Caenorhabditis elegans: one gene and its partners. The protein of the gene in region 2 purifies or fractionates together with the protein of the main gene of each other region. This does not show direct contact. Each region holds a gene or a part of one and is shown on either strand. Other genes may lie near its edges. The genes, in order: Y37F4.1, H20J04.9, droe-4 and rbc-2.

The links.
Region 1: the proteins of H20J04.9 (region 2) and Y37F4.1 fractionate together in Caenorhabditis elegans (co-fractionation; one large-scale study listed by BioGRID). This does not show direct contact.
Region 3: the proteins of H20J04.9 (region 2) and droe-4 fractionate together in Caenorhabditis elegans (co-fractionation; one large-scale study listed by BioGRID). This does not show direct contact.
Region 4: the proteins of H20J04.9 (region 2) and rbc-2 fractionate together in Caenorhabditis elegans (co-fractionation; one large-scale study listed by BioGRID). This does not show direct contact.

The regions. Positions count from the first base shown.
Region 1 is NC_003279.8:10,854,955-10,863,563, forward strand, and holds Y37F4.1 (BAR domain-containing protein), read left to right. Parts: upstream 1-3,132; 5' UTR 3,133-3,691; intron 3,692-3,854; 5' UTR 3,855-4,037; intron 4,038-4,557; 5' UTR 4,558-4,593; coding exon 4,594-4,665; intron 4,666-4,726; coding exon 4,727-5,005; intron 5,006-5,292; coding exon 5,293-5,431; intron 5,432-5,478; coding exon 5,479-5,665; intron 5,666-5,706; coding exon 5,707-5,815; 3' UTR 5,816-5,844; downstream 5,845-8,609. Other genes in the region: Y37F4.4 (Signal recognition particle-docking protein FtsY), read right to left, coding at 555-845; Y37F4.2 (Sec-independent protein translocase protein TatA), read left to right, coding at 981-1,038, 1,081-1,152, 2,566-2,666; Y37F4.5 (START domain-containing protein), read right to left, coding at 6,305-6,553, 6,651-6,814, 7,021-7,187, 7,238-7,358, 7,432-7,734, 7,781-7,821, 7,890-8,072, 8,355-8,397 and 1 more.
Region 2 is NC_003280.10:4,346,901-4,355,118, forward strand, and holds H20J04.9 (Methyltransferase domain-containing protein), read left to right. Parts: upstream 1-4,287; 5' UTR 4,288-4,297; coding exon 4,298-4,561; intron 4,562-5,007; coding exon 5,008-5,370; intron 5,371-5,991; coding exon 5,992-6,171; 3' UTR 6,172-6,258; downstream 6,259-8,218. Other genes in the region: athp-2 (Bromodomain adjacent to zinc finger domain protein 1A), read left to right, coding at 1-336, 1,434-2,049, 3,004-3,337, 3,522-3,653; H20J04.7 (Serpentine Receptor, class Z), read right to left, coding at 6,321-6,548, 7,311-7,481, 7,532-7,936, 8,208-8,218.
Region 3 is NC_003283.11:13,988,927-13,995,794, reverse strand, and holds droe-4 (dietary restriction over expressed), read right to left. Parts: upstream 3,140-6,868; 5' UTR 3,034-3,139; coding exon 2,698-3,033; intron 2,632-2,697; coding exon 2,491-2,631; 3' UTR 2,319-2,490; downstream 1-2,318. Other genes in the region: ric-7 (CRAL-TRIO domain-containing protein), read left to right, coding at 1-88, 536-691, 4,915-5,013, 5,939-6,133.
Region 4 is NC_003281.10:2,523,665-2,532,449, forward strand, and holds the start of rbc-2 (WD_REPEATS_REGION domain-containing protein), read right to left. Parts: upstream 5,026-8,785; 5' UTR 5,016-5,025; coding exon of another isoform or gene 4,986-5,015; 5' UTR 4,965-4,985; coding exon 4,832-4,964; intron 4,770-4,831; coding exon 4,646-4,769; intron 4,596-4,645; coding exon 4,484-4,595; intron 4,427-4,483; coding exon 4,217-4,426; intron 3,004-4,216; coding exon 2,702-3,003; intron 1,871-2,701; coding exon 1,747-1,870; intron 1,167-1,746; coding exon 968-1,166; intron 1-967. Other genes in the region: ndua-8 (NADH dehydrogenase [ubiquinone] 1 alpha subcomplex subunit 8), read left to right, coding at 5,412-5,543, 5,590-5,765, 5,875-5,993, 6,565-6,689; Homeobox protein cut-like ceh-44, read left to right, coding at 6,956-7,006, 7,050-7,160; cone-1 (Protein CASP), read left to right, coding at 6,956-7,006, 7,050-7,160.

The DNA of each region.
Region 1 (8,609 bases), on a different chromosome or scaffold from region 2:
AATTGATAAAAATATATAAAAGCTGATTTTTTCAAAAATTCAAAAGTATGGGAAAATCATATGGAGTCATTCTTTTTTATCTCAAAAAACTGTTCAGCATAGTCAAGAATACCAGCAAATACCAAACAGAGTATATTAGCTTGTACGGAAGTATTTTTTAGAAAATTGATAAAAATATATAAAAGCTGATTTTTTCAAAAATTCAAAAGTATGGGAAAACCATATGGAGTCATTCTTTTTTATCTCAAAAAACTGTTCAGCATAGTCAAGAATACCAGAATATGCCTATCAAATTATAATAGTTTGTACGGAAGTATTTTTTAAAAAATTGATAAAAATATATAAAAGCTGATTTTTTCAAAAATTCAAAAGTATGGGAAAATCATATGGAGTCATTCTTTTTTATCTCAAAAAACTGTTCAGCATAGTCAAAAATACAAAAAAGAATGACTCCTTATGATTTTCCAGGACTTTTGAATTTTTGAAAAAATCAGCTTTTATAAATTTTTATAAATTTTTTAAAAAATACTTCCGTACTAGCTATTATACTTTGATTAGCATATTCTGGTATTTTTGACTATGCTGAACAGTTTTATGAAATAAAAAAGAGTAGCTGATGGTGGAACGAGTTGAGCAGTTTCTGGAACCAGGACAGGCTGTTGAACATCTGGAACTGTTGGAGCTGGAGCCGGAACTTCTGGCTGTTGCTCGATTTGAGCTGGTGTTGCAGCAGGAGCCGGAACAGTTGGTTGTTGCTCATCAGCGTTGGGATGAACTTCTTTTCTTAGTTTTTGTCCTAGTAGAACGAGTGCTTCTAGTACTTCATGTGCTTTTTGGAGCATCATTTTCATTATTTTGCAAGTAAAAATCGGTTAAATTTTCCTTTTTAATCCTTGAATTTTTATTCAGGAAATGGTTGTCATGGAAACAGATAAGCTTATATATTCATCACATTAAATTCAACTTTTAAATAGAAAATAATGCTTTTTATAGGTATTCATAGTCTACTTTTTCGCGAGAACTGGAGCAAAGTTGGTGGTGGGTTTTACTTTTTCTTAATTCAGAAAAAAAAATTTTCAGGTGTCGAATATGAGGGAAATCTGAAAATAAAAGTGGAAGTTGTTGGAAACAAAGCGAAATTATCGGAAAATGGTGAATTTTTGTATAAATTTTTAAATACTTTGTATAATAAAATGTGAATTTTTGGTACCGATGATTCAGATTCCGGGCAGATGAATTTTTAGCAGCTTCAGTATTGGGTTTTTGAGATTTGAGATGTTTCTGCCTTCTTCCTATATTATACTGTAGGAGTACTGTATGTGATAAACGGTAGGGTACTGTAGGTGGTAAACGGTAGGTGTACTGTAATTTTTTGTTCAAAAACTTTTTTTTTCCCTCTCATAACTTTGCCGTCGTTTGAGCTATTCTGATTCTGAGCCAAATATATGAAACCTTGAAGATTTCTTAAGCGAGAGACGAAAAAAATTTTGAAAATCGAGTCATACATCACAGAGATAATCGACCGAATAGAAAAATAATGCCTTTTTTGATTTTTGATTTTTCAACTTTGAGCGTTTGTTAATTGGTTTGTTTAAGTTTAATTTTAATTCTGTTTTTTTTAATAGACTCAGAATTTGACGCTGAATTCAAATATGTAAGATTTTTTTCCAGCTTTAAAAATGAAAAAGTTATGAAAAAAAACTAACATTTCATCTCCTCATCAAAGTTTTCGAAATATCTTTTATGTTTTTACATTTTCTTTTTAAAATTGAAAAATCTTTTCAGCATATTTCTTTCATCTTAGAGAAACTGAAAATTCAGCGCCCAGGGCGCTAAATAATTATTCAAAATTTTTAAATTAGAAACAACTCCTTAGCATATTCCATCAATCTTAGAAATAGTTCAAATCAGCGACGAAGGCGCTGAATAAGTCTTCAAAGTTTTAAATTAGAAACAACTCCTTAGTATGTTTCTTTATTTCAGAAACTTTGAAAAATTCAGCGCCGAAGGCGCTGATAACTCTTAGGAATTTTTGAATTTAGAACAACTCCTTAGAATATTTTTCTAATCTTAGAGAAGATTCAACTTAGCGCCCAAATAATTTTTAAGAATATTTCAATGTGAAACAACTCCTTAGAATATTTCTTTAATCTTAGAGGAACTGAAAACTAAAGCGCCGGAGCCGCTAAATGATTTTTCAAAATATTAAATTAGAAACAAATCTTTGGAATATATTTTGAATTTCAAGGTGAACACACTTAACCCCAACACAGGTTTGAGGCAAAGCCGAGAACCTGCGCCAGCTACCTTGTTGATACTTTAGAGCGAAATAACCCTATCCCCACTCCCGAAGGGATAGCGCACTTTGTGCGCTAGTCTTAAAAATTTTTTTTTTAATTGAAGGTTTACAAACAAATTTGAACTTTTAAAAAGCTTTGCTATGTAGGAAAAAGGATACTCAATTCAAGAAATGGTATGTAGAAAAATCGATTTAAAAAAAGTTTTTTGATTTTTGATTTTTAATTTTAAAAGTTTAGTCCCAATAATTCAATAAAGTTTTTCCAGAAATAGAGCAAATTCGAAAAATAGCTGAGCTAATGGGCAATCCAACGGAACCGGACGAAGTTTCGGATGAAAAAGACGATAGTTCTGAATCAGACTACTAGTTGCTGAAAAAATAATTTATAAGTTTATTTTAGTCACATTGTTGATAGTTATAAATATTTTTTTGAAATAAAAAAAACCAAAAATGTGTTTTTTGCACTGAAAATGTTGCGTTGGCTCAGTTGCAGGGTAAACCCATCAATTCATAACTTCAGCAAGAAGTCCAAATTGTGTTAAGTTCGAGATCCCTTTAGAAAGCAATCTTGCACTTATTTTACTTTTTCTTAAATCTACAGTTCAAATTATTAAACAAAAATATCTGAAATCAAGAAAAGTTTATCTTCACGGATGCTGAAAGTTTATAGACTTGTGGAAGTGTTCTATGATCACTTCTCATGTTGCACTGAGTGGACTTTGGAGACGTGCATAAAGCGCATGACTCTAACGCCCACGCGGCCTCTGAGCAGGGAGCGTCACGCCCTCACGAGTATATAAGCCGACTAGAGAATAACATCCTCAGTCGAGAAAGACCTTGCCTGCTGGCGCCGGACGAAAGTAAGACTCTCGTCGTCTGGCACAGCAACGACTCAATAAATGCTTTAGCACACAATCAAAGTGTTTTTGCATGATGTTTAACCATAAGCTGTGGCACCGGTTTATGACCGTTAACAGACTCCTCCAGTATATAAGGTTGTCCAAACAACTTAATTTTTCATATTTTGTGCAACACTATCTTGCTGAAATGAAAGAAACCGGCCCGTGTTGTTACATTCTGCTCATTTTAATTTTTCCGCCAATCGCCGTCTACGTGAAAGAGGAAAGATGCTCTCTGTCAGTTTGGCTCAACCTTTGTTTCTGCATCCTCTGCTGGTTTCCGGGGGTGCTTCATGCTATAGTCGTCTGTTTCTGCTTGAATTATTTATTTTATTTACTTACTATCAAGAAATGAATTCTTGAGATTAATTTATTTAGAAGAATATAATACTGAATTACAATTAAAGAGAAGAAAAGGGGAAGATAGCGGTCTACATCTAGAAAGGAAGCATTGGTATTATATAATATAATATAAAAGAAGGAACTTATATAGGTCTGTTTTTAATCGAATTATAATGATATTGGGGTTGGCGTGAATCATATGAATAGGAAAAGAAGGGAAACGTTTTGGTTTGAATCATAAGGATCAAATATCATATTCAAAGAGGGAAAGATTTGACACTTACATACAATTAGATTAATTTTTCCATGTACAGATTATCTCAGACCACAGGATATGTAGTTGCTGACTAACATTTCACTGCTAATGTGTAAGCGGCCACTGATTGAATATTGTGGGAGAATTAAAATTTGGACTCTGAATGAAATTGCTTCATAATAAAGCAAAAAGTTATCCAAATTTCTATATTTATCATGTTTTTGGATACTGTAGTTAAAAGGTATAAACGCTTTATATTATATTTTAGTTTTCAAAATACATATATAGGGAAAGCCTCATGCAAATTTGTCTAGAAAAATGATTTGAAATTGTTCAAGAAGTATGAAAATGTTAAAAAGCGTACAGTTAAACAAATTTAAGATTTTGGAATTTGTCAATCAGTAGGTTTATATTAATCTTAAAAATGATAAAATCTGCAAACCCGGATTTTAAAATAATATAATAAAAAAATAATAAAAATTTTAAATAATATAATACATAAAACTATAGAACAATTTCCAGAGAACTGTTTAGATTTTTTGTTGAATAGAAAGTTTCCACAGAAAATTTCAAAAACCGCCTTTGGAGCAATTTAACTGGTAAAACACGGAGCTAATAGTAAGCAAAAATTTCAAATTTTTTCACAAAATTTCAATCACAAATATTTTCTAAAAAATGTTAAAAATAAAACAAAAAATTACTAATTTAAATTGCTTTGTTACGTGACACATTTTATGATGACAAACATACTTGTTTATCAGACATGAAATCTCAATCTCAGTTATTTTATATTTTTAATGGCAAACAAGAAGAGTACGAGTAGCTGCTATGAAAAGCCAATCGCTCAGAAATTATTTTATGGATTAGCTGTAAGTTTTTGGATGCCTCCGAAACCGAAATCCGAAACCGAAAAAAAAAGAGAGTTTTCAGGACCATCCAAATCACGGTGTATTTTCGTCGATTCTGAAGAAAAAGAATCGCTTGTTTTCGATGACTGATGACGTGAAGAAGCTTTGCAATCAAGTTGAAGCTTATAAAGAAGCCGCAGATCGACTTCATCAGGCACTGATTCAAATGTTCGTTGAGAATCAGGAACTTATGAAAGCTGATACGAATTATCAGTACGCTGGGCAGTATCTAAAGACGTATCAGGCGATAAATCAGAAAGGAAGAAAGTTGGGTACGAAGGTTGACCCCAAAGAAATGGATGTGAGTTTAGTTGCAGAATTGATCAGAAAAGTGACGCGACATTCAGTTTCTAGAGCGAATCCTGTTGAAAATCGAGGAAGTTGGAACGACTTTTTTGCACCTAAGAAATTTGGTATATTTTCTAGGCTTGGATTTTTAGGCTTAACAATTTAGGCTAAGGGCTTTTAAATGTTAAAATGTAGGCTTAGGCTTTTCAAATAAACCATTTAAGCCCAGGTAATCAGGCTTAGGCTCCCCAATTTTTTGGCTTATGGAATGGCACCTGATAATAAGGACACAAATTTCAGAGCTTAGAACCGGCTATCCAAACCTTGCTCAATCTGGATTCCATACAAGCAAAGCAAGTCCAAAGGCATCTGGAAAACTTGTCGGCGTTGACAAAATTCATTGGCGTCGACTATTGGGAGTACGCAAGGCTTCGAAAGAGTAAGAATAAAAGGGTCTATAATATGAATCTAAATAAAAAATTTCAGTTTATTGGCTCTCGCTGGAAACCTACGACGACGCAATCAGTCAGCAGAATAAGGAGCGAACGGAGCAAGCCGAACTCGCGGCGGGAAATGCTCAGACATGGAGGAATGAGTGCAGACAGAAGGTTATTGACTTTATCAATAAGTCGATTAATGAGCAGAAGGGGAAACACGCGGATGCAGTTTTGAAGTAAGTTTTGGAACTACTCCCCGAAAAAAAAAAATTTTAAGGTTTCGTGACGATTCAATTCTCTTCCACAAATCCATTGCTGAAGCTATCCCAATATTTGATGATAGAGCACTGCCAAAGAGTAAAGAAAAGCCATTGAAATCCAAATGAAACTTGTCCGAATAAAGAATTATGTGATTTTTATTGCTTGCAACTTCAAATGTGTTATATTTGATTTTAGTCATCAGTTTACAGCCACATCAGCCACAAGGCACCCCTGATTCCACCAAAAGGTGCGCGGCGATTGCCGACGGGTAATTCTACAATTTCAGGCAGAGATGTGTTTTCCCAATATTTTTCATTAAATTTTAGTGAAAAGATGTAGAAACTATGTGATCTCTCCCATAATAACGCAATTGCCGCGCAACCCGGATTCTATCCCTCTCCATCGCCTCAACATTCGCCCGCTATTTCACTTTTTTCGAATGGCATTTTGGAAACGTTTTTTGAATAGCTAAGGTTGCTATGGGGTGGCTCATCACGTCCCACACAACACCCCTAGCTTTAACAATAAATTTACGCTGAAAACAGAACAGAAATGAATCACATTTTATTCTCTCAAGTGCTATAGTCTACTTCAGTGCTTCAACCTTCTCGACATTATTTCTCCTTTTTTCCATCTTTCTTCTTATCCAATTTGTTTGACTTGCAAGCGACTGGTTCCTGCAGAGTTTCTCGAATTTCAGCCAATTTTTGTAGTCCCGCTTTGTACCAGTGTTCTCTTCTGTCATCTGGACAAGTCAATCGCGTAGATGTATAGAATTTCTGGAAAATGTCGTGATTCTCAATCCAAGATTTCATCCATGCAGTTTCCAACGCAGCGATCGGGATCATTGTGAACGTGTTTTCCTGGAAATTATAAATGAAATCCAGAACTAGGAACCGCAATAGACTTGATAGTAAAACTCCAGTAATAGGACTCATTTCAAAAAAATGTTGAACTTACATCTGCAACCAACTTCAAGCAAACATAGAGTGCAAACTCAATCTGTGCAGTCGCTACCAAATCAATTGATCTTGTTTTCTGAGTTCCCATCCAAGATCCAGCGATCGGAAGCATCGAGTCCAAATTCAGGGAGCTTCCCATGATGTGCATCAATGTGTCAATCACTGAAAAATCATTTCATAGATAGGTACTAAAAGGAAAAAAAGTTCCCGGCTTCCCTACCTCTCACCCGGAAAATTCAATAAATGAGAAATCAGTAAAGACGAGAAAAATTATATAAAGAGCAATTGGCTAATAAATCATTTTTCTAATATTTCAAGTGTTTTCAACCTTGCATCTCATTTTTCCGGAGCCGTTAAATAAAACTAACATGGTAAAATAGTCGCTCTTGTATCAACATTTCCCGCAACAATTCCTACATTAGCATACTCGTTATCACTGGACGTTGATTCATACATCTTCGCAAACGGAACTAAATTAAATGAAACAAATCCATGTGGCATATTCTCACACTTCCAGTAGAGGAAACTATGATTACTAAAATTTGAATTAGGAATTTGTGAATATTGTTGGAAAAATGTACACACTCTTCAATCCTTCGAACTTTATACACTGATAAACCGGGAATTTTCGATTTCAATTGTTTTGACGTGTAAATCAATTGTCCACGTTCCTTCACTTCTAGCGATAGTTCAGGGCAACCTTCTTCTGAAAACAATTCAATTCAATTATTTATAAGCCTAAGTCTAAGTCTAAGCTTATAAGCCAAAACAGGACTTACCACCGCGTAAATTGGTCAACTCAATAACAACCCGACACTTCAATCGAACCATCCAATCAAATATTTTCCTCGTCTGCGTATTAGTATTCATAATACACCATTTTCTGGAATTCGGTGCTTCAATGATTGCAGAATGGCAATATTCGTCAGTTCCTTTCTCCTGTTCAGCAATAGATTTACCAATTTGTATGGCATATGCCTGCTGAATTGCCTTGGCAACATTTCGTATCTCTGCTCCATAATCCTTGCCCTCATGCTCTTTTTTGTCGATGAGATTGTTGGTGAAATGCTGACGATTTAGTTCTGAAATTTATTAGTATTTTTTTTGATTAGGAGATCTCACACTCACTTTCCTTCTCTGGTCCATTGCTAACGTCGCAGTGTTCTCTTCTGAAAAAAAAATCGGTTGGATTTCGCTCTATTATAATCAAAATCTTAAAGCCAAAGAAGATACCCACCGTAATCCTCGGTCCAAATCAAAGTCACATCTTTGATTTCTTCTACAATTAAATACACCCTTGTTAATTGGCATTGGTTGGTGATAATATTTTTTAAGCCATGCAAATCCTCCGATTATAATGATTATGACACAAGTAATAATACCAACGAGAGCATAATTCAAGTTTGATAATGTATTATTTCTGAAAGTATCGAAAGTTACGGAGCACTTGGCTTTTATAATTTTTTGGCTAAATGACCTTCAGCTTTCAGGCAGTAAGTATTCTACGAGGGCCGTCCGTTTCTTGCCCGATTTTGTTGTGGGTGTGTGTATTAGTGGTTTTTCGCAGCGGCCGACATTTTTCGGGGTCTGCGCCACACTATGCAGAAGGCATTTTGGTGCCTGCAGGCATTTTGGCGCCTAGGCGGACGAGAACCGCCCCCGGACCGCCGTCTAAAACCTCTCCATTTTCGGCTTCACTTACACTGACTTAGGTGTTGATTGGGCCTGCGGAGCAGTTGATGAAGCTGTAAAAAAATATTGTTCAGAAATTTTATTTAAGATGAAAAAAAACCTGTTGCAGCGTTTATTACTCCAAAAACCAAGAGAAGTAGCATTCCACGTGGCATTGTGGGCGCCTGAAATTTACAAAATTTTGTATGGCCTAGCACCAAGTTTTGATTACCTGAACTTTGTCGCAATTATAAATTGAATCAATACAATTCTAATGACAAAAAGT
Region 2 (8,218 bases):
CGAATCCTGGGGATACTTATAATATTGATTGGGATGCTGAAATGCGAGATCTACTACTGGATTTTGAGGAAAAAATCGATCAGGGACAAATGGGATCAATAGAAAAAATATTTGAATGTAATCGAATTGAATGGAGAGATAATCTTAAAGAATCGGGAAATGTTTGTATGCTTTTGAACGAAGATATTTCTATTTTTGGAGAGATTTCTGTGAATTTGGAGGAATCTGAGCATTTTTCGGATTCTATGAAACTCGCCATCGCATTTTATATGATTATCAAGAGTATTCATTTGAAATTCATCAAGGCTCCGTATATTAGTCCGAATAAGGATGAACGTTAGTTTTTTTTAATGAAAAAAATTATTGATAAAATGCAAAAAAAAAATCATAAAAATTTGTAAAATTATTGATTAAAAAGAGATTTTTAAAAGTCGAAAATTACAATTTATTATTTGTTTTTTGGCCGTTTTTTTTTTAATTTTTAATTTTTAATCTTTAAGGGTAAAAATGTCAGTTTTTATGGGTTTGAAACAAATTTTTTTGATTGAAGAAAAATTCCTTCGATTAATTTCTTAAAAAACTAATTTCGGAAAAATCGGAAAATAGCGTTTTTTTGGAAAAAATTTTATAACAAAGTTACATCGTAAATATTGATTTTCCGATTTTTTATGGGTTTTTTTTGTGGAGAAAATGGAAAAATTAATTGTTAAAAATTATTAAAAATTTTACAGTAAAAAATACGAGAACTCTGTAGATTTTTTTAATTAAAAAAATATGAGAAAACCCCAATTTATTCCAATTTTTACTGTAAAATAAATGAGGAAAAGTTGAGATTCGGAAAATCGGAAAAAATGTAGAAAAGAGTATTTAAAAAAAACGAGGAACCCGTAGATTTATCAACAAAAACATCAATTTTGATGGAGAAGAAAATCACAGTTTATATTTAAAAACCGCAATTTATTGGAAATTTTGAATTTTTCCTAATTTTACCTGAAAAAATATAGTTTTTTTTTTCAATTTTCAACGAAAAAAAATCCCATTTTTCCAGACAGAAACTCCGCAAAAAAAACGATAAATCTGAAAATTTGGAAAAAATGTACGAAAAATACTATACATTTATCAAAAATATGTTCATTTTTTTCTGAAAAGTGAATTAAAAAAACAATAAATTGAACACTTTTCGAGATTTTTTGATAAGTTTTACTTTTTTTTTTTAATTTTACCCCATTTTCAGATGTTTCCTAATTTTTTTCCCTAAAAAAAATTTAAAAAAAAACTAAAAATCGGACATGTCGAAATTCTCTGGAAAAAATCGGTATTTTTCGATTCCCAAAACAAAACAAAAAAAAATAACTCAAATGTGACATTCTTCCGAAATTTTCTAAATAATTTATGTTTTTCCTAATTTTCAAATAATTTTCCGTCATTTTCAGACGGAAACTTGAAGCCCTCCGAACTATTCATACGTTGGCAAAGAGCACTTCTCGAATGTGAATCCCATTCAGCTCTTTCTCTATTCATCTCAACATTCGAAGGATCTATCAAATGGGATAAATCTCGTCTCCAAGGAAAATGTCGTTCATGCCGACGAAAAGCCGCTGCTCATGATCTTGTATTGTGCTCTGAATGTGATAATTGTTATCATTTGAAATGTGCAAAGCTGGATGTTAACTCAGATGCTCCAGCTGATTGGATGTGCACCAGTTGTAGAGCTCAACAGAGAAAAGTTGAGAATGAAGCAAAACGAATGGCTCGGGATGATGATCAATTGGCTGAATCTTCATCACAAGAAGATGTTGCAATTGGAAATATATCGATTAGCGATAATTTCTCTGAAATTGCTCCAAAAACTGCTGAGCCAGCTGAGAGCTGTAGCACCCCGACAACTTCTAAAGAGCCGCCAACTATTCGAACTGCAAGTGGTCGGGCTGTAAAACGAGTTCATTATTCTGATATTCATGAAGGATTAAGCTTGAAAAATCGGAAATCCAATGGATCCATGCCAGTCACACCTTCGGAGAGACCTGTTAGAAATGTTTCTGTTAGAATGTGAGAGTTTGGAATTTTTTTTTTTGACGGAAAACTTAAATTTTCTGCTGAAAAAATCGTTCAAAATGCCTTTTATGATTTTTTTTTTCAGAAGTTTCATATTGTTTGTTAAAAAAAAAATTAAAGAAAAAATTTCCTTTTTTTTGGAAAAATTGAATTTTAAATCTGAAAAATTGGTTAAAAACCGTTCAAAACACTGAAATAACTGAAATAAATTTTTTTAATTAAAAAAATTAAATTTTGAAAATTCAATGGAAAAAGTAGCATTTTCTACTGAAAATCCATTTAAAATTTGTTCAAAAAAAATTTTTTTTAAAAAGAAATACAACTTTTTTTGTCAGAAAAATTTTAAAAAGCTCAATTTTTTTTCAAAAATTGTAGAAAAAATTATAAGATTTGTTATTAAAAATTGCTACAATTTTGGACTTAATTTTCCAAAAAAACCAGCATTTTTTTTCTGAAAAATCCGTTCAAAATTTGTTTAGAAACTATATATTTTTTAAGAAATTCGAGTTTTCTGAAAAAAAAACTTTTTCCTCAAAATTTGGAGTGAAAGTTTTGTTTAAAAACATTAAAATTTAAAAATTAATTTTATAAATATCCTAAAAATAATTATACATATTTTGAAAATTCCTGAAAATTCTAAACATTTGTAAAAATTAGTGGTTTTTTTGTAGTTTTAAAAAAAATTTAACTTTTTTTTTCAAAAAAAGTAAAACATTAATATTCAAAAAATTAAAAATATTATTTTTTAAATAGTTAAAAATTCATTTTTTTTTGTTGGAAAAATTGAGAAAAAGATAAGAAATTTTGTTTGGTTTTTTTTAACCGCCAAAATTCAGGTGTACATCAATTTTTTTGAAATTTCTTAAAAGTTGGAAAAAAAATTATTTTCAACTTTAAAAGGATATTTTAAAATTCGAATTTTTTCAATTAATAAGATTTTTTTTCCAGATTTGACGTTGAAAACGAGAATGTTTTAACTGATGAAGATGATTCTGACGGTGAAAATACGCGAAAGCGAAAGACACCAACATCCAAGAAATCAGTCACATCAACACCGACTACAAATGATATTTCCCGTGTCATAATACCAAATATTAAAGAGAAAATGACATTAATTGAGACATTATTGAAAGAAGCAATGCGTCAAGAATGTTCATGGCCATTCCTTCAACCAGTTGATTCGAAAGAAGTTCCAGATTACTATGACGTCATCAAACGGCCTATGAATTTGAGAACTATGATGAATAAGATTAAGCAGAGGATTTATAATAAACCTATTGAGGTTGATAGTTTTGAAATTTGACAATATATTTGAAAAAAAATATCCAAAAAAAATTGCTTTCTGCAAAAAAATTTATATTTAAAAATTAGCATTTTTGATATAATTAAAATTTTTTAATTAAAAAAACAAAGCATTAATTTTTTTTTGTTGAATTTTTTTTGAAAAAAAACCGCCAAAATTCCAGGTTCGCAACGACTTCCAACTAATCCTATCAAATTGCGAGACGTACAATGAGCCGGAAAATGAAATCTACAAGCTTTCTCGAGAACTTCACGATTTTATGGCGGATCGTCTCGATGAGATCATCGATCAATAAACATATTCATTTCATTTTTCTGTTACTTTTTTTTCTTGAATTTCTACTTTTACCCCCCTCACCTATCAATTTTCATACTTAAAAAAAATTCAAAATATCCATATCGTAAATCCACACAGACTACACAAAATCGTATCTCAATTGTTTTTTTTCGCTCTTTTTCTCTAGCTCTCTCTCCTTTACTATTTCCTAGAAATGTACTCATTTTCTGTTAATTTTTTTTTACAATTTTTTCGTTCACATTTTCTTTCTCTGTCGGTCTTAACTCAACCGCTCCCCCGTTACAAAAATCTCAGTCAAAAAAAATTAATTTTGACACGTCATATTTGTTGTTCTTGAGGTCCCCCTGTGACTTTTCAAAACGTTATTTTAATTGTGCTATTTTGTGTCAACTACTGATGAAAGTCATTGAAAATGAACTCGTAAATTTGAAATTTTAGTTTGAATTTTCGGTTTAGGAGCAGTTTTCAGTGTAGAATTAGCACTATATATTGAATTTTAGAATTAAAAAAATCGAAAAAAAAAATTTTTTTTTAGGGTTTCTTTTTAAATTTAGAAGTTCAAAATGGAACATATAAACTTGCCATTAAAGGGGCGCGGCTTAATAATATTTTTCAAATCAATAAATTTCCAGCTCCAAAAAAATGGCTTCCCAAAAGTTAACAAAACTGTTCGCCAACTCATTTAAGCTGGCGACAAGTGATCTCGCAAATCAATACGCTCTACCGGTTAAATCAATGACTGGAATGATTGTGAGCAAGTATGGTGCATCGAAATCCAGGCGGCTCAATGAGAAAGTCGTTGAGAAAATGGATATTGGGAAAGATGATTTTCTATTTGAAATTGGATTTGGACGAGGAGATGCTATGAAAATGTGCTTTGATCGGGTTAAAGACGGCCGGGGAATGGTAGGTGGAGAGGGTGTAGGCAGGCCTGCCTGAAATGCCTGAAAATTGTAAAAATCTGTAAATCGTGGCCTAGAAAAAGCAAAAACTCGGCCACCGATTTATTTAATTTTTTTCCCACAGACTAATCTGAAACTTTGCCACCCGATAGTGGCCGAGTTTTCTCTTTTTCGCGGCCATGAAGCTCGATGCCGGCTAATGTATTAAAAAAAAACCCAGTCAGATGCACCATGTCTTCACTTTCGCGGTGTGCATTTTGCCACGTGTGGCCTAGAAAACAACTCGGCCACCAATTTTAATCGTATGTTTTAAACAAATTTTTACACCTTCTAGGTGTCCCAAAACAACCTCTTTTCTCGGCCGTGGCCGAGTTTTCTCGCCTCACGGCCACGTAGCAAATCTGATCATTTTCACATTCTCTTTTTCTCTCTAACACCTAAAATTTCCAGGTATTCGGTGTTGAAAGATCCGGCTATATGAACGAACGAGCCATCAAACGATTCGTTCTGGAAATCGCCGAAACCGATAAAATCCGCATCGATTCGGCAGTTGATCTACGGAATCTACCGTATCCCACTGATCTATTCAATCATGTATTCCACGTGGATCTCTTCTATTTTCTACAACAAAATGCACTGGTAAACATTAATCGGGAACTGCTGAGAGTTCTGAAACCCGGTGGAACATTGATTTGTGGAATGCAATTCGATCGGTTGAAGAAATTGACGGAAAATCGAATACTTGAGGAGAATCAGTGGGATCCAATGAGATATCTGTGGGCACTGGAAACGGCGGAATTTAGTGATGTTAAAGTGCTTATTATATTGAGGAGCAAGCGCGCTCCACTGCAAATTGAAAACTCTCCGCCCCCAAACCATGGGTCTCGTTAGGTATTTGACTCCAAAACCGTAAATTCGAAAATTAAAAAAAACTTCAAAACTACAGTATTCCTACAGTGTCCTTACAGTACTACAACAGTACTACTATAGTACTCCAATAGTACTACTACAGTACCCCTACGGTACTCCAATAGTACTACCACAGTACCCCCGTAGTACCCCTACAGTATTCCTACAGTATCCCTACAGTACTTCTACAGCACCCCTATAGTACGAATACAGTATTCCTACAGTGCCCCTACAGTACTCCTACAATACTCATATAGTACTACTACAGTATTCCTACAGTACCCCTACAGTACCCCTACTCTACTTCCATAGTACTGCTACAGTACCCCTATATTACTACTACAGTACCCCTACATCCTACTGTACCCCTATAGTACTATTACTGTACTCCTACAGTACTACTACAGTAATTCGCGGTTCGGCCGCCAAATACCTAACGAGACCCATCATTCGGGGGCGGAGCATTTCCATTTGGCCATGGAGCGCGCTTGCATCACGATTTCAAAAAGCAACACTAAATTCCAGATCAACTACCATAAGGACCCCCAAATTGGTGAATATCAAATCATCTCGGCTACAAAATCTACTGATCCTCTAGCTGGACAAGATCCTGAAGAATTAATGAAAAAATTGGCGATGGATATGAAGAAAGAACGACTGGCCGAAGCGATGATGAATGATAAAAAGAATTTTGAAGATCTTTAATTTTTTCGGTTAAAAATGTTTTTTTAAAATAGGTTTTTAATGATTTTTTGTTGTTATTTTTCGCTATAAAAATAGGTACTTTTGAAAATTTGTTTGGAAGAGTAACATTCTTTATTAGTGTGAAAAATTGGAAAAAAGTTTAAAAAAATTCAAATTTTCGCGCCAGTTTCAACACTAGATTTCCCATGCTCAGGTCCCGGTGCAATTTTATTTCTGAATATTCCACTAAAGTACAGATTCAGTAATGGCATGGATATTTCCGGGAAATGATTGAAAATTTGAAATGTTGATGCGAAATGGAAACGAGCATCGCCTTCCTCAGAATCTTGTTCGAAATATTTTGTCTTCATAAGGATGTCGTATGGAATTATTATAATCTGAAAGATGTTAAATTATATTCCTACAGTACACAACTATAGTACTACTACTGTACTCCTACAGTACCCCTACCGTACTCTATAGTATTCTTACAGTACTCCTACAGGACCTCTACTGGACCTCTACAGTACTACTACAGTATCCCAACTCAATATCCCTTCAGAAGACAACATGTTTTTCCAAAAACTACAGTATTCCTATTATCAAAATATAAAAACTGTCACATAAAATTTGACTACAGCGACGCACGCGAAATATTCGCTCTCGATTCTAGAAACGTCAGTTTTTGCGCTGTATCTTCGCATTTTCTCGTCTCCCGTTTCTGTCATCACCCGTGGTTCCAGCTGTTTTTACGGCATGAGGAATCGAGAGCGAATATTTCGCGCGCGTCGCTGTAGTCAAATTTGATGTGACAGTTTTTATATTTTGACTTTACAGTATCCTACGTTACCCCTAAACCAATATCCCTTTAAAAAAAGTATTTTTTTCCAAAACTACGGTAATCCTACAGTAGTTCTACAGTATCCCCATATAACTCTTACAATACCCCTACAGTACTTCTACAGTACCCCCCCCCCAGTTTCCCTACAGTACTCCTAGAGTACGCCTACAGTACGTCTACAGTACCCCTACAGTATATCTAAAGTACTGCTACAGTACCCATACGGTACCCCAGCTCAAGATTTCTTAATTTGCAGCAATCCTAAAATACCTTTACAGTACCCCTAAAGTACCCATATTCCCTAACCCAAAAAACTCACTAAATATAAAATAGATGTGATAAGTATTTCTATATGAACACTTTTCTCCTCTCTAGACATATTTGTGGTATTTATAAGAACCTTTTTATTTTTCTGTCTCTTCAAATAGTACAAAATCATATAACAAATTATTGATGCTACTGGAAACAAATGAAACATGCGATGGATACTCTAAAATGTTTTTAAAAGTTAAAATTAAAACTAAAGTAACCCTTATTTACCTTATCACTGTAAATATCGCCGTGTCCGTTCCAGGGGTTTTCGAAGAATCCCAACCACAAGATAAATATTCGTTTTATTTTGAAATTTCTCAAACCAAGTATTCCAATAGTAATAGAAAAAGATGCACTGAATAGAATAAGAATAACAATTTGCACGTTGCCAAATATTCGATGATTCCAAGTTTTAGAAAAAAAGCAGAACAATTGGTTTAACGACATTTGAAATATAATTGTCAGGCAGAAAAATCGACTACAGTAATCCACGAGAAGAGAAAATTGAAGGATATCTTCTAGGAAAAGGGAACTTTCAGATGTCATTTCCAGCATAATTATTGCGAAGATTAGGAATGATACTCGGAATATAATCATCGATGATCGGACAACTGTGAATGCAAAAAATGGGGTCTGAAATGACAATTACTTGACAATGTTCGGTCAACTTTCAGGAACTTTTTTGGGATTTATTTTTTCTCTTTCTCTCCACCAAGCCTAAGCCTATGCCTAAACCTAAGCCTGAGCCTATGCCTAAGTTTAAGCCTGAGCCTATGCCTAAGCCTAAGCCGAAGCCTAAGCCTAATCCGAAGCCTAAGACTACGCCTAAGCCTAAGCCTAAGCAGAAGCCTAAGTGAAATCCAAAGCCTGAGCCTAAGCGGAACCCAAGGCGATTCAGACTTACCAACTTCAAGC
Region 3 (6,868 bases), on a different chromosome or scaffold from region 2:
AATTGAGCCAAAGTTTGCTCCGAAAATGTCGAGAGATTTGATGGTGATGGCTTGTGAAATTTTTCAGCCATATTCACCACCATTTAGGGTGAGAACTTTCAGAAAAACTTCTTAAGTATGGGGTTATTCATGTGATGTCTAAAAATGTAAAGTAATGTTTTATTGAATTAAAACAAATTTTTTTTGACACAATTAAAGACAATGGCCAAAAATGCAAAAAAATGAATACTTTTTTAAATAGTTTTTTACACACAAAAATAGCCCTCTTAAAAATTACGGATTTGATTTTTTTTAAAAACCAATATCTATTTTGTAAGTCCATTTTACCTCGAAAAGGTTTTTTTGCTCGTCTGGTTACTTTCTCCAACTTTGTGCAAAATGGAATTCTAATTAATTTTAAATGGTGAAAATGTGAATGTGCTTTAATCGATTAAAAAAAACATTCACAATACATCATCAAAATTGTTGAGAATTTGAAAATCCTTCAAGTTTTTTCAAAAAAAAAAAAAATTACACCATTTCAAAGTTATTACAGGACCTCCAAACCATCTATCATAAGCGTCGTCTGAAACGAGTCGCCGTTCCGAGTGTCACCGAATCAAATGAATCATGTGTTTCTCTATTCATGCGATCGGCTCTTTATCACAAATGTTCACTTCTTCGCGACGCCACGTGGTCGATTATTGAAAAGGTGAGCAATTTCACAAAAATGCCAAAAAAATTTCCGCATTTGAAAGTACCCCCGTGTGCTTAAAAAATGGAATGAAATTTCAAGAATAACAAGATAAAATGAACAAAGCACCCATGCTCTTTTGATTAAAAATGGGTCCCCATCGTTTTTTGAAAATTCAATTTTTCTTCCAATGACACATCCACCGGATTTCTCAATTAATTACGTGCGTTATTGTCGTTATTGAAGCCAGTTGTCGAACAAAAAAGAAAATAAAAAGCGGATTAAAGTCGTCACGATTTGACTTCGGTACGAATTGTTTTTTTTTCTAAAAATGAGAATACATTTGTTTTTCGAAATTTTCAGTGAATCATTCATAGAGTACTACTGTAATATTTTGTTCTAGAGAATCTAACCACTTTATGTGATTTTTCATGCTCTTTGAAGTTTGTTTGAAAACCTTTAAGTTCGCAGATTTTTACATTTGAATCCTCCGATGCCAAGAAACCCCGCGATTATTGAAGAAAGCTGTTTTCAGCTCAAGAAATGACAGAAAATCTAGAATAGCTTCTTATCCCATTTGGATGATTGGAATATCACGATCTGGTATCAAATACCCAAACAATAATAAAAGATTATAGAACATTTAGGATATTTTTAGTTTTTTCTTGCGTTTCACCACCCACCACACCTTTGACGTGCTTCTTGAATAATATCTTGAAAAGTGCAAGTTGGCTCCGCCAGACAAGGTTTCAGATGAGAAGCATCATTGCACAATATCTAGAAGCTTCGTCCCAATTAGAAGATGTGTCTGACGTATTGAATTCTGCTGAAAAGTCAATAATGTCAGCTCTGATGATTTCGACGTCTTGGTTATCATTAACTCGTCTGCTAAAGTTCAGAATCACTAGACCGGTTAACCTGAATGTTATAAATGGAATAAGCGAGGATTCGTGCTCATTCCCATATTATCATTAAAATGCAAATTGAATGCCACTAGTTTTGCAGGGGAAATAATTTATGTGTATCCATTGCTCATTGCCAGATTGATCATTCAGATGCATCGAAGAATTTGTGTTCGATTACTCTCATCAGCAAGATCTCATTAATTTTGCAGAATAACCTATGTTGCGTTGTATGTTCTTCGTTTTTAGCTTTTCGCTTTTTGGCAAGAAGAGCCCGTGACGTAAACAAGACCTCACACGAAGAATACTTTATGAGTTGTATGGGTGATGTTGGACGCGCACGGCGATCAACTCTTCAGGGCTCATTTATTTACTGTTTAAAAGTTTGAAAACCAAAGTTAGACAGTTGGAATGATCTAGAATAATGAATAGCTTCTTTGGTCTCTATACGTCACACATATATTTCATTTTTTGGTGGATCTACAAATGGAATAATCTAATCGGATTAAGAATGGAAAGCAATAATGGATGTCAGTTAATCCGGCATTTATACAATCAAGATGAATGGGTATAATCAGAAGATTTACCTACGTCGAAGGAGCCTCTTCATGATATCTGAAAATAGTCGGCTAACTTATAGTTGGGAGAGTATGTATACCATAGTCTTTGTTCACTTTTTCTTTCAAATATTCGTAAGCAATCGATCATTTGAAGATTCTGGGATTATGGAACAACTCAGAATACTGCAACGTTTCTCATCTTTATTCAGTTCGTTTGTTCAATTATCAGAAATGGTCATTATCACGGGTTCAAGGAAGAAGAAAATCAGGAATTATTCAAAAATGGGGATTATAGGAAAAGAAGACTGGCGACATCCCGACGAATAGCATATTATTGGACGAAAGGATTCAGGAATTAGTAGAAGACTTCTGGCATCGGGAGCTTATTGAAATCGAGGAAGGTTGTAAATCCTTTTGGTAGATTGCAACCGTCTCTTTTGCACAAACAACGTAGGCTGACCTGAGATGGATGGTTTGCAGCGTGGAATTGGAATGCCTGAAGTGATTTTATATAAGAAACCGATTCCTCCAATTATATTAAGCCTGATAATATTGAACCTACCTCTTGTAGACAAACGTTGATCACAGCGTGTCCTGGGATTGGATTTCCGTACATGGCCAAGATGTTGGTGTAATCATCGGAATCCATTTGAACTCCATTGACGTAGTACTTGTTGTAGTCCTTTGGGTCTGGCATGTAGCTACACAACTCGTAGATCGGCTCGCTCATCGTGTATCCTTTTGATGGATTGTTGACATCAATCGGCTCCCAGCACCGAATGCTCTTTGTGAGTTGATCGTGAGCATCTTGAACGGTGTTCTTAGCAGTTGAACGAACACTGTAACCCGAGGCCAGGACGAGTGAAGAGATGAGAATAACAGTTGGAGTGTTCAACATGTCGACCGTTTCAGTGAGATCGAAAAAAAGAGATCGGCAGATGTCCGAGTGACTCGAAGTAGTGATTAGCCCTACTGCCAACTCTGTTTATATGATGAAGCTGAAATGGGCGGAGTCAGTTTTTTAGTAACGAAAGGCGGGCTTTGAACAGAGCTGGAAAATAGGAAAAAGGAGGTGGAAAAGAAAAGCTGAAGATCAGGAGGTGTTTTTTAGAAACATGTGACAGATACGGGTGATAATGTTAAGATAAATGGTCAGCTCATGTTTTGATTAAGTTAAAAGTACATAAGGATCAAGGGAAGAATGCCAAGTTATGTCATATAGATAGTAAGGTTTTCAGAATGAGGAGATCGGAAAAAAATAACACGGATATCCCTTTATTCACTAATTGGGGTTTTTGACGTGTACTTATTTCACTAGGGCTGTACAAATCGGCGTCCGGTCGTCCGATTTTGACACCACCGGACGCACTGCGTCCGGTTTTGGGGTAGGTTTCCACGGCGGCCGACAATTTCCGAGTTTCGCCACTCACTATACTTAATCAGCAGTTTTATAGTGAGTGGCGAAACTCGGAAATTGTCGGCCGTCGTGGATAGCTACCCCCAACCGGACGCATGTGCGTCCGGTTCGGACGACCGGACGTCCGGTTGTACAGCCCTATATTTCACCGTACCAAACAGGGCGCCATTTGAGATCATTCTACACAGTGCGATCTTCCCTACTGTTGATCAGAACTCTTTTTGACTCAGCGATTCGGTGTTCTTTTGCCTCTTGACGTGAATGATTTCAGTTAGCCTCTACTAATTAGTTATCCGCATCGCTACCAGCACCAAAAATATTTCTGAACTCTTCTGTTTTGTGAGCCACAACGTTGACTCATTATTTGAACGACCAAATTTTGGAGTTAAAATTTTTTTAAAGACAATCTGCACGTTTAGTGATTGATCTACCACGCCTTATGAGGTGATCATTTGAATGTTTGCCAGTAGCTTTAAAGAGACATTTGATAAAGTATAGAAGATCAACAAATCGTTTTGTACTTTTAAATATGTCTCACTTCAACGAATGTAACTTTTCTAGTCGGCATTCCCATCCGAAAAAAACCGAAAAGTCCGAGCTCCCGGGCGTCACTGTTAATCTCAATTTAATCCTAGTGAATCTTAAAGTGTCCAGGAACCACACAAAATGAGGAATCCAATTTTCAGCGTGAAAATTTCAAATTTTTGAGAGGTGTGGAAGTGGCACATTTGCGTGTGAAGAACGCTTCTGAAAATGATTGAATGGTCACGAAGATGCTCAAAAAGAAATTTAAAAAAATGGCAAAAGTACATCTTGTGCCCTTTGCACTTTTCACCCAATTTCTTGTTCTGATTTCATTATTGACGTCAATAAAGGAAGAAGGACCCTTGTCAAATGACCCTATATCTGGTATCATTCTGACTACATTTTGTTGCAGATAGATCTGACCTGTGAAAAAAGTGGAAGTATTTAATATTCTGTCTTGTGATTTTTGAGCTCAAAACCCCAAGTGTCCACAGTTTCAGAAACTGTCGACTAGCTGGAAAAAGGAAGAATAATGCCTGTGAATAATAATAATGATTATTATAATACGTCAAACGAGACAGTTTCCTTTCAAATCAACATGTCTACGATATGAGAATAGGAAATTGAATCACTTTATAGGATTACAGTAAAATCCGATGTATGAGAGGAGAACAACAAAACAAAAACCACGCAAAAACTGGCTTAAAGTAGACTTATTCTTATGGGAGGCAAATTTTATAAACCCGCGCGATTTGGTAGATTACTTTCTAAACAAAATCTCCGAGTCCAGAAATTATTTTTTTTGGAGATTAAAACTAATATATGTTTATTTTCCAGCGATTCGACAATGCAGTCCAAGAATGCGATTTTATGAATAAATGGCCAGGCTACAGTCCGTCTTCAATGCGAAAAGATCTGAAAAAGTTGCATGATTTGGTGAGTTTCAACAGAAATGCTTCGACCACACTACATTACTCAACATCACTACAATTTTCCCACGTTTACAAAAAATTTACTAGAAAATTTGGTCTTTCGTGTGATTCTTCTACAAACTATAAGTGTGACTTGTTTCAAAGAACGACAACTTTTTCTTTGAGTTTTTAGTTTGAAATGTCATGTATCCCGGTTACCGGAAATGCTAAAGTTATCAAATTTCATGAAATTCAATTATAAAAATTTGGTTTAATTTAATGTCCGGTGGCATTTTAATAAACTTTTGATAGAATAGTTTAGTTAAATTACATTTAAAAAATGAATAAGTAGAAGTATAGATAAAAATACCATTGAAACATACTAAACATGCTAAAAAAATTTCCATAAAATTTCAATCTGAAAGTTTTTCAGTTCATTTTTCTCAGATTTTGGGTAGAATTTCCCCAAAACCGGGCTTTTCAGATTTTTGATTTCCACTCAAATCTGCCAAAAAAATTCTTATAAAACAAACACATTGTTTGCATTGTTTGCATGCATTGTTTTTTTTCTTGTATACATTGTTTTCTAAAATGTTGGGGAAAAATTGATTTTCGTCGATTTAATTTTCAAAATCTGAAATAAAGGTCGCTGGCACTGAACTTTTTTAATGTCGTGATTTCCGACGATTTTCTACGCTCAGCATGGCTTCTTTGTTTCCGGTAGTTCACTTTTTCTTTTTTAGAACAATAGTTTAATTATTCCTAGAAAAAGAATGAATTTCTACGAAAACAAGCCATAGTTCAAATTGATGTTCAGTGATGTTAGATGCTGAAGGACTATGCCTACGCAAACGCAACTTTATAAAATCTGCAATGATCTGACCAATCTTACGATTACTTTCAAATCATACATCGACACCATAATTCCATTCATTTTCCAAATGTTTCAGGCATCAACTGATTCGTTATCCGGACTTGAAGAAGATCACCATAAAGCCTACCAAGTGTTGATGGTTCTCGAAGCGAAGAGAGCGTATGACGAACGACTTGCTGGACTTTTCTGTGAAGATTGGTTCAATGTGGACAGTCCTGCAGACATTTTCAAGATTCTCGTTGACCGAGGAGATGACGATTTACCTCCAAAGGTATAGATATGGAATTTGGAATATTTGAAATGCGCGCAGACTAATTTGAGCGGTTAAGCCGATGTTCGCCGACGAATTTAGAGGATTTTGAGAGCTTGATAATATTTTAGATTAATTTGCAAGTTTGCCTCTGTTGAAATAAGAAAGTTACCGTATGTTACCGTATGGGACAAGTAAATTTCGTGTTACTTCCCAAGACTCAAAATTCCCCCTAACGGCACGTGGTGTCAGGTTGTCCCATTACGATTTGATCTACAAGGGAATTTTCCCAAAAAAAGTAACGTTAGCACGCTCTGAACCATGCGAAATCAGTTGAGAAGTCTGCGTCTCAACTCCCGCTTTTTTGTAGATCTACGTAGATCAAACCGAAATGGGACACTCTGACACCATGTGTAATGGCCAAATTTAGGATAAAAACTAAATTTCATAATTATCCAACTTCATTCATCGTGTTTTGAATATGTTGAGAATTATGCAAACATTTTGAGAATTTTCCAAAAAATACCTATTTTAAACAGAAATCTCGGTCATTGCAATGTCTTTTCGTTGGCTATTTTTCCATGATATCTGAAAAGACCAGCTTCATAAATACTGATGCTTGTTTTTCCACCTCCAATACGTTTCTAAGTATACCTTCAGCATCATCACCCTAACCTCCCAATTTTTTTTTTCAAATCTTGCAAAAATGTGGGAGTTGGTTATGACGCTTATCCGGTGACAACGCAGGAGAAAAGT
Region 4 (8,785 bases), on a different chromosome or scaffold from region 2:
TTCCGTAAAATCTAGAAATATTTCGGCTGTACAAAAAAGTTAGGATTAATTTTAAATTTTTTTTTCACGAAAATTACGCATTTTTCTATTATTTTATCATAAAATCAAGCTTCATAATAATTTTTTCAGGTGAATAAAATTTTTTGAATTTTTAAAGAAAAATATGCGTTTCCCGTACAATTTTATTATTTTTTTTCTTCGCAAAAATCGAATTTTACTCAAAATTTCGCAGGTTTTTTGAAATTTTAAGCTTTTTTTCTATTTTTTCACCAAAAAAATCGCCCGTACTAAATGGCAAATTCCTGATCGCTTGAGCTCAAAAAAATTAAAATTTTTGAATTTTTTTTGACAAGAATCATCAATTTTTTTCTAAAAGTTTTCAGTTGTTTTCTAATTTTTTTAAAATAAATTTTCTTTTTTTTTTCTTAGAAAGCTAATTTTTTTTCGGTTGATAAATCTATAGTTTCATAGTTTTTTTTATGACTTTCTGATTTTCTAATATCACGAAAAATTACAATTCTTAACGATTTTGTCGTAATTTGCATCTAATTTGTGGTGAAAATTGTCTCAAATATTCAATTTTTTCAAATGAAAATTTTTTTGGGTCCCACTACGAAAACCGGCTGACTAGTTACTGTAATTTTGCAATTTTTTCAAATTTTTAAAGTTTTAATTTCGGCCTAGTTTTCCTGGTTTCAATTTTTTTAAAAATTCAAATTTGAATTTTTAAGATTTGTACAGTTGCAACAACTACAGTAACCCCGAATTTTTCGTGATGGGACCCAAAAATTCACTTTAATGAAATTTTATGATAATACTGAGCGTTTTTTCATGAAAACTGGAGTAAAAATTAAATTTTTAAAGAAAAATATGCAAAAACATGACAAAAAATTTTAAAATACGTTTTTCGCAGGTTTTTTGAAATTTTTAGCCTTTTTTCTATTTTTAGATCAAAAATCGCCCGTACTAAATGGCAAATTCCTGATAGCTGGCACAGCTTTCATGAATTGATGATCAAATGGTGGCATATTCCATACAAGTACACTTCCATCTCTTCTTGAACTTCGTACAACTGAGAAACGACGTTTTTCGTATGAAGATGATGAAGATTCCAGGGAATTTGAAGAATTATATGGTAGAAATGCAAATTGAACGTCGTTTAGGCACTGAAAATTTTGGGAAAATTGAGAATTTTCGGGCTTTTAAGCTGGAAAATCGCTTTACGCGGCTCGTGTACTCCCCGAGGACAAGACTTTACAGTTTTTGAGCTGAACATTCTTGATTTATGCAATTTTCACAATTTTTTGTAGAGATTTTTGGGAAAATCAATGAATTTTCTCGATTTTCAGCTTAAAATGCAATTTTTGGCGCTTTTTTTTTTGGTATTCAAATCTCCAGTTTATAGCAATAAACACTATTAAATTAGAGATCTAGAATTTTCTGTCATTATTTATCACTTTCGGTTTCAAATCGTCAAGGTTTGCTAATTTAATAGTTTTTTGAAGTAAAATTCGATAAATGGGCGATTTTAATGTTAAAAAATACTAAAAATTGAGAATTTTAGACAAAAATTGCCTTTTTAGAGCCAAAATCAACATAAATTCATGGTTTTTCACAGTAACCACGGCGATTTTTTTTTTAATTTTAAAAGTGAAAAAATCAGTGAAAAATGGCCTGAAATCAGGAAATTTCTTCTTCTCCTCGGGGAGTACACACGAGCTGCGTAAATCGACACGGAGCTCTTACAGATCTCGAGTGCTCCTGAACACCATTTACAGTGGCCACAATGAAGGGATTCGGCTGATCGAAATAATTTGAGGTTGGACGATTATTTGCAACAACTGGCGGTACTCCTTCTTTTTGGAGACTTCTGGAATTTGAAATTTTTATTATTTTTTGAAATTTTTGAATTTTATAGTAAATTTCACCATTTTTATACTATTTTACTATATTTTAGATTAATTTGAATGCTAAAGTCGAAAAAAAAAAATTTTTCAAGAGAATTTTTTCAAGAAAATTCAACTTTTTAGCGTTGAAATCTTGAATTTTTAGGCAAAAATATGTCAAATTTGTGGGAAATGTTCAAATTTTTTCAACAAAAATTCGTGATTTTAAGCTATTTATTTATTTTTTATTTTTTCCAAAAAAATCAATTATCTTTTTTTTAATTATTTTTTTTGCATATTTTTAATTGAAAATAAGCGATTTTAACTCAATTTTTGCCGAAAAAGTCGATTTTTCCCGGGATTTTTCACTCGATAAGCAATTTCTATGAGAAAATTCGTCAGAATGTGCGTTTTGGATATTTTGGCTCAATTTTTGTCAATTTTTCATTAAAAGATATAGTTTTTCTGCAAATAATCTGTTTTTCGTGGAAAAGCGGATTTTTTGTTTCATTTTTTGTTGTTTAAATCAATAATTATATATACGAAAATCTATCGAAATAGTGCAAAACTACTTAATTTTTTAAACAAAAATTTTTCGATTTTTGTCAATTTTTTTTGATTACACGCTAGAAAATTAGGGTATTTCGCAAATTGTATGCTTTTTCCAGGAAAATTTCAAATTTCTTTAGATTATTGATAATTTTATCAAAGAAAATTATTCGTTTTTGTGATTTTTTGTTGATTTTCATGTGTTTTTAGCTGAAAAATTCGATTTTTCCGGTATTTTCCAATAAAAATTTCCGGAATTTTCTCACTCGATAGGCAATTGAAATACATGAATTGATTCATCAGTATATCCAATTGTAACTTTATCCAAATCCGTAAGATATCCAGCCACACAACGTTTCGTAGTTATTTCATTTTTATGAAAAACTACTGTTGAAAGATCATCCATATCAATAATCATCCAACATGTCGATGCAATTATTAAAAGCATTCTTCTTGTTGAACAAATATATGAAACACTTCGAATATGTTGAATTTCTAGTCGTTTTGATTCATCTTCATATAGAGATGTTGCTGGGTCCTTTTTCTCCAGTTCTGTGAGCGTCCACACCTGGAAAATGGGGTTTTAGAGCTTGAAAATGGCTATTTTCGCGTTAAAATTGGTCTAAAATTATCTAAAATCAATTTTTTACCTCGGAAAAATTTAAATTTTTCCGTTTTAGCATTAAAAATAGCTTTTTAAACCAAAAATTAGAATTTTTAAATGTGAAAATTTAAATGTGAAAATCTTATGGTAATTGTCATTTTACAAGTAAAAATCTATTTAAAAACGAGATTTTTGCGTTAAGAACACTTTACATTGTGTGAATTGTTCAAAAATTCGCTTTTTTCAGTCAAAAATTGAAAATTTACATTAGAAATGTCACGGAAATTGCCTTTTAACAGGGAAAAAAGCTTCGAAAATTCTATTTTCTACTCGAAAAACCGTTTAAAATGTCATATTTTGGACGAATTTATACATGTTTTACACAAAAATCAACTGCAATAGCTATAAAAATTCAATTTTTCGAGCTTTTCAACTGGAAAAATGTGGTTTTAGAGCTTGAAAATGACTATTTTTGCATTAAAATTGATAAGAAACGGCCTAAAATCGATATTTTGCATCATAAAAAGAGCTTATAAACTGAAAATTTGAAATTCTCACGGAAATTGTGTTTTTTTTAGTTAAAAATTTTTTTTTAAGCTTCAAAAATTCAATTTTCCACTCGAAAACTGTCCAAAATGACATTTTTTCAATAGATTTATACATTTTTACACCAAAATCAACGTCAAAAGTCGTAAAAATTAATTTTTTTTTTCTTAAAAATAGCTTTAAAATCAGCTTTTTTAATCTAAAGGCTATACAAAAAATCTTCCAAATTAAGTAGAAAATTGGCTTTCTGGAGAAAAAATTCCAAAAACTGTGATTTTTAAGTGAAAAAAATTTGAAAATTTCACGGAAATTGTCGTTTTACAAGTTTGAAAAATCGAAATTATTAATAAAAAACTTTTAAAATCCAAATTTTTGGGCAAAAATTACAATTTTTTGCTCAAAACCACCAAATTTCGTTCAAAAATAAGCTTGAATCAGGGTATCGCGATTTTTTTTTCCATTTCTACATAAAATTGAAGATTTTTTCTAGAAAATTTGTATTTTCACATTAAAACATTTAAAAATGCAATTTTTCCGCGAAAATATGATATTTTTTAATGTTTTTCGGTGATTTTTGGCTGAAAAAAATTAATTTTTTCGCTTTTTAATCGATTTTCCATTAATTCCACACCTTCATCATTCCACTCAGAGTCATTCCAATCAACTGATCCTCCTTTTCCGGATGACTAATAATTGTAAAACAGCTTATCCAATCCGGTTCAACTCTTGAAGAAATTGAGAATACAACTGTCAAATCTTGTGGATCCATTACTTGAATATCACTATAATCTCCAATACAGAAAAGACGAGTTGCTCTCGTGTGACGGGACGATTTATACGTCTGAAATCAAAAAAATTCTCGGTTTTTTCGGCTAAAAATCGATTTTCCAGCGCCTACGTATGGATAAATATATCTGTGAATTGCAATAGAAGATGTTGAATCAATGCACCGTCCATCTTGAATCTCCCAGAGGCATACACGTCCGTCGGCTGAAGCTGAGACAAAACGTCTGGAATTTTTCGGAAATTATCGATTTTTTCCAAATCCTGCGTTACTAACGTATTTGTCGGTGTATTTGTTGTCTGAGAGATTGCTGTAATCTTTTGAGAATGTCCAATCATTAGCTGCTTTGGCATAAGTCCTTCTGCTAGCTTCCAAATAATAATGTGGCCATTTTCAGCGCCTGAAAATTTCGAAATTTCAGATTTTTTGTTTTATTGTTTAGAAAATTCGATGAATATTAACCTGTGATAATTGTTGCGCCATCAGGAAGCACACGAATTGCGCAAATCTTGTTTTCCGGCGGTTTCGGGCCCCAAATGACAACTGGAACGGAGAGCGCCGGCGATTTTGTGCCGGCTGGCGCGACTTCCACCATTTTTCAGCTAGATTTTCAGATTTACAGCAGAAATTTACACAATAATTTCATAATATTTAATCTGAAATGAAATCTGAATTTCTTCAATTAAATAAGCTTTTTTTTTAGAAAACTTTAATCGGAGCAAGAAAAGGGCAAAGTTCGATAGCCCGTAAATCGACATGAGATGCCGCGGGTCTCGCAGGGAAGAGAGCCAACATGGCATGCGCCTTTAAACTTGTGTGGATTTACGGGCAAACAGCCGTTGCGCAAAACAAATTTTATTTTTTATTTTATCATTTAAAATCAAAATAAACTATTTTCAATCGATTTTTTTTTGTTTTTTTTTGTTTAAAAATCAAATTTCAAATTTTTCTCATCGAAAATAATAAATTTCATCACCGAATTCCCTCTCTGTAACAGTTTCCGCTTGGTTTCCAATTTTCCAATTTCAGGGTACATTTTCCGATGAGTATAACCAAGGATACGCATTTTCCAAGTGACGAGGAGCTCACTGTTCCTCAGGAAATCACTTTATCAACTCCATGGCTCAAATCCATCGCTCCCTATATGGCAAAACATTGCGAAAAGGAGGCAAATGTTGGTTTTTCTGCCAAATTTTCGATAAAATTGAGATTTTTTGCAGGAGTTCATGCTTCGACGAAAGGAAGCCGAGGATCCACGTGCCGTTTTGAAGGAGGGAGCCGCGCTGACCGCGTGTGGAGTCAATTTTCTTCAATCTTTGAAGCGTTCCTGCCTTCCACAGACTCAGAAGCTCGCCGAATGTGTTGATCAGAGCAGTGCCAAGCTTTACATGTCAAAGTGAGCTTTCCAAAAATGAAATTTCATCGAAAATAAACCGTTAAAAAATTTTAACGTGATTTTTTTCCGAAAAAAAAAGCGAAAAAGCAGTAGAATATTCAATTTTCAGGTGCCATGACGACCAGAAGGAGCTCGATGCCTGCGTGGAAGCTAATTTGAACTTGACGCGTCCAAAGCTTGGATACTTCAGCAAACTTCATGTCTATGACTCGGCCACCGCGGCTCCAGGTACAGAAATTATAGAATTTACGATAAAATTAATTTAAAAATGCGAAAAAATCAATATTTTAGCTGAATTCTTCCACTGTTTTTCTCTCAATTTTTGTATGAACTTTTCAGAAAAGTTCCCAGAAACTCCTGAAACTTGAAAAATTCTAACGTTTTTGCATATTTTCCTGAAAAAAAAACCACTTTTTTGTTAAATTTTTCGCTTTTTTGACTATTTTAAAGCTTTTTAAAACTAAAAAGTCACGAAATTCACCTTTTTTCAGTCAAAAAAGCCTTGTAAAACTGGTAAAATTTGTATTTTTCGGAATAATTTCAAATTTCGAGCCAAAATATCACTATTTAAACCTTAATTTCAGACATTTTTTAGCGACAAATTCAAATTTCTATCCAAAAAATATTGTATTTTAAGTTAAATTTTGATAGATTTTGCGGAAAAAATCCGAATTTCAAGTCAAAAAAATCAATTTTTTCAGTTTTAGGCATCATTCCCACCTGAATTTCACGAAAATCTCACTAAAAACTCATTTAAAATCCCATTTTTCGCGGCAAATTCAATTTTCCCCAATTTCAGAGGTGAAGCTCCGTGACTACAAGGCAGAAGCAGCTAAAGTGCTCAATGAGCTTCCAGCCGACTATCATCTTCGCAAAGACTACCGTAAATACAACGACTGGCGCTACAATATTACTGAAAGCTAGATTTCTCTGAAAAATTGGCCGTTTTTCTGCAAATACCCTTCGTTTTCCCGTAGAGTTCTCTCCAAATTCTCCTATTTTTTTCTTGTTTTTTCCCGTTTTTTTTTCCAAAAATTTAAATTTTTTCAGCGAATAAAATGTAGATTTTCTTTAATTTTTTTTTTTCACTTTTTCAACCTTTCTGGTTTTAATCCGTGTGCTATTTCTAACAAATTGTGTGATTTTTTGCTGTGATTAAATAATTCGATTAATTTCTTATTTCAGACCTTATGGAAATCGTCTCAAGAGCATGGGAATCTGTAGATTGGGACCGAATTCAAGTTTTTTGGAAAAAAAAATTATTTAAAAAATCTGAAATTTCAGACAAGAGTGGAGGCTGAAGTGACAGCACTTGGACAACGACAAGATGACAGTGAAATTCGTAAAACACGATTGGTTGAGGAGAGTAATGCATATAGAGGCAGAACTAATAAGGTAAAGAATTGGAGAAAAATTGGCCTGAAATCCGGTGAAAATCGAATCAAAATATGGGAAAATTGCCGAAAATCCAGCAAAAATAGAGAGAAATTATGGAAAAAATGGCTGAAAATCCGGCAAAAATGGAAAGAAATTATGGAAAAAAAATTGGCTAAAATCCAGAGAAAATCCGGATAAATTGGCTGAAAATTCGGCAAAAATGCTGAGAATTTATGGAAAAATTAGCTAAAAATCTCAGCGAAAATTACTCGAAATTTTAGGAAAAAAAATGATTGAAAATCCTGCAACATTGGGGAGAAAATATATAGAAATTTGCTAAAAAACAAGAAAAAAAATGAGGAGAACTTTTGGAACACTGGGCTGAAAATTCAGAGAAAACGAGTATAAATTCTTGAAAACTGAGCTAACAATCCTGCATAATTTGAATAAAAATTCAGCGAAATTAATGAAAAATGGACCAAGCTCTGTCGATATTTATAAGTGAGGATTTTTTCCACCGATTTTTAAATACAACTTTTCTTGAAAAAAATGCAAAAATGTGCTCGGAATACTCATTTTTCAGTAATTTTCAGTTATTTTGCTTTAGAAAATAATGGTGCAAATTTTCTTTAAAAAATCGATATCTCTGGAATTTGGATCTGTGTAATTTATAAATAAGTAGTTTTTTGGAATTACTAGAAAACTTTTGGAAATGCTACAAAAAATGTAGAATTAGTACATAAAAAATGTCAATTTTTTTGAACTTTGGTAAATTCCGGTGGTTCTCCAATATGAAGTGAAGATTATGTGCTCCTCAAATGATCGATATCTCGAAAATCGTGATCAATATCGATTGATTTTCCCGCCAAGTGTCATACCATCAATCGAACATTAGTCGAATCTCTCTCTCTCTCTCGCCATCTGTCATTCAAATCGTTTCTATCTCGTTCTCTTATGAGCTCTGTCCTTTTTTCGTAATTTTTATTTTTTGCTCTATAGTATGTAGGTTTTTGTACTACTTCCTAGTCTATTTTTTTCAACTTTTCCTGTAAAAAATATTGTTTATTACCAGCCGGTAGCATATGCACACACACACACACATACATATTTCTAGTAGTGTCTGTATTAGCTCATAAATCATCAGATTAGTTTACATTTTCAAATTAATCCTATAGATATATCACATTTATTTATAGCTCTGGAGGGCATTTTTCAAGTTTTTAGATTTTCTAGATTTCGAAATTTCATCTAGAAATGTGCAGAAACTAGAGGAAAACGCTTGTAGAATCTCAATTTCTTTAGATTTTAAAAACTCGAAAAATTCCAAATTCGCAGATCTCCCAGGCTGCCGTATTATGTGTTATCTCCAGAAATAAAGGCCTAAGCATATCCAGATTTTTTCTTCAATTTTCCCTGATCTACCCGTGTTCAGCAATTTGATGATTCGACATTTGGACAATTTACAAGTTTTTTAGCAAAAAACTTCAATGTTTTTGGTGAAGAAACACATTTTTTCTCACCGAATTCATGAAAACCTGTAGAGTTTGACCTCTCATTCTGGGAGTTGGAATCCGAACAATAAATAGAGTTTCTCAAAATTCTATACTTTGTCAGTTCGGATTGCCGCCGCCCACGCATGGATC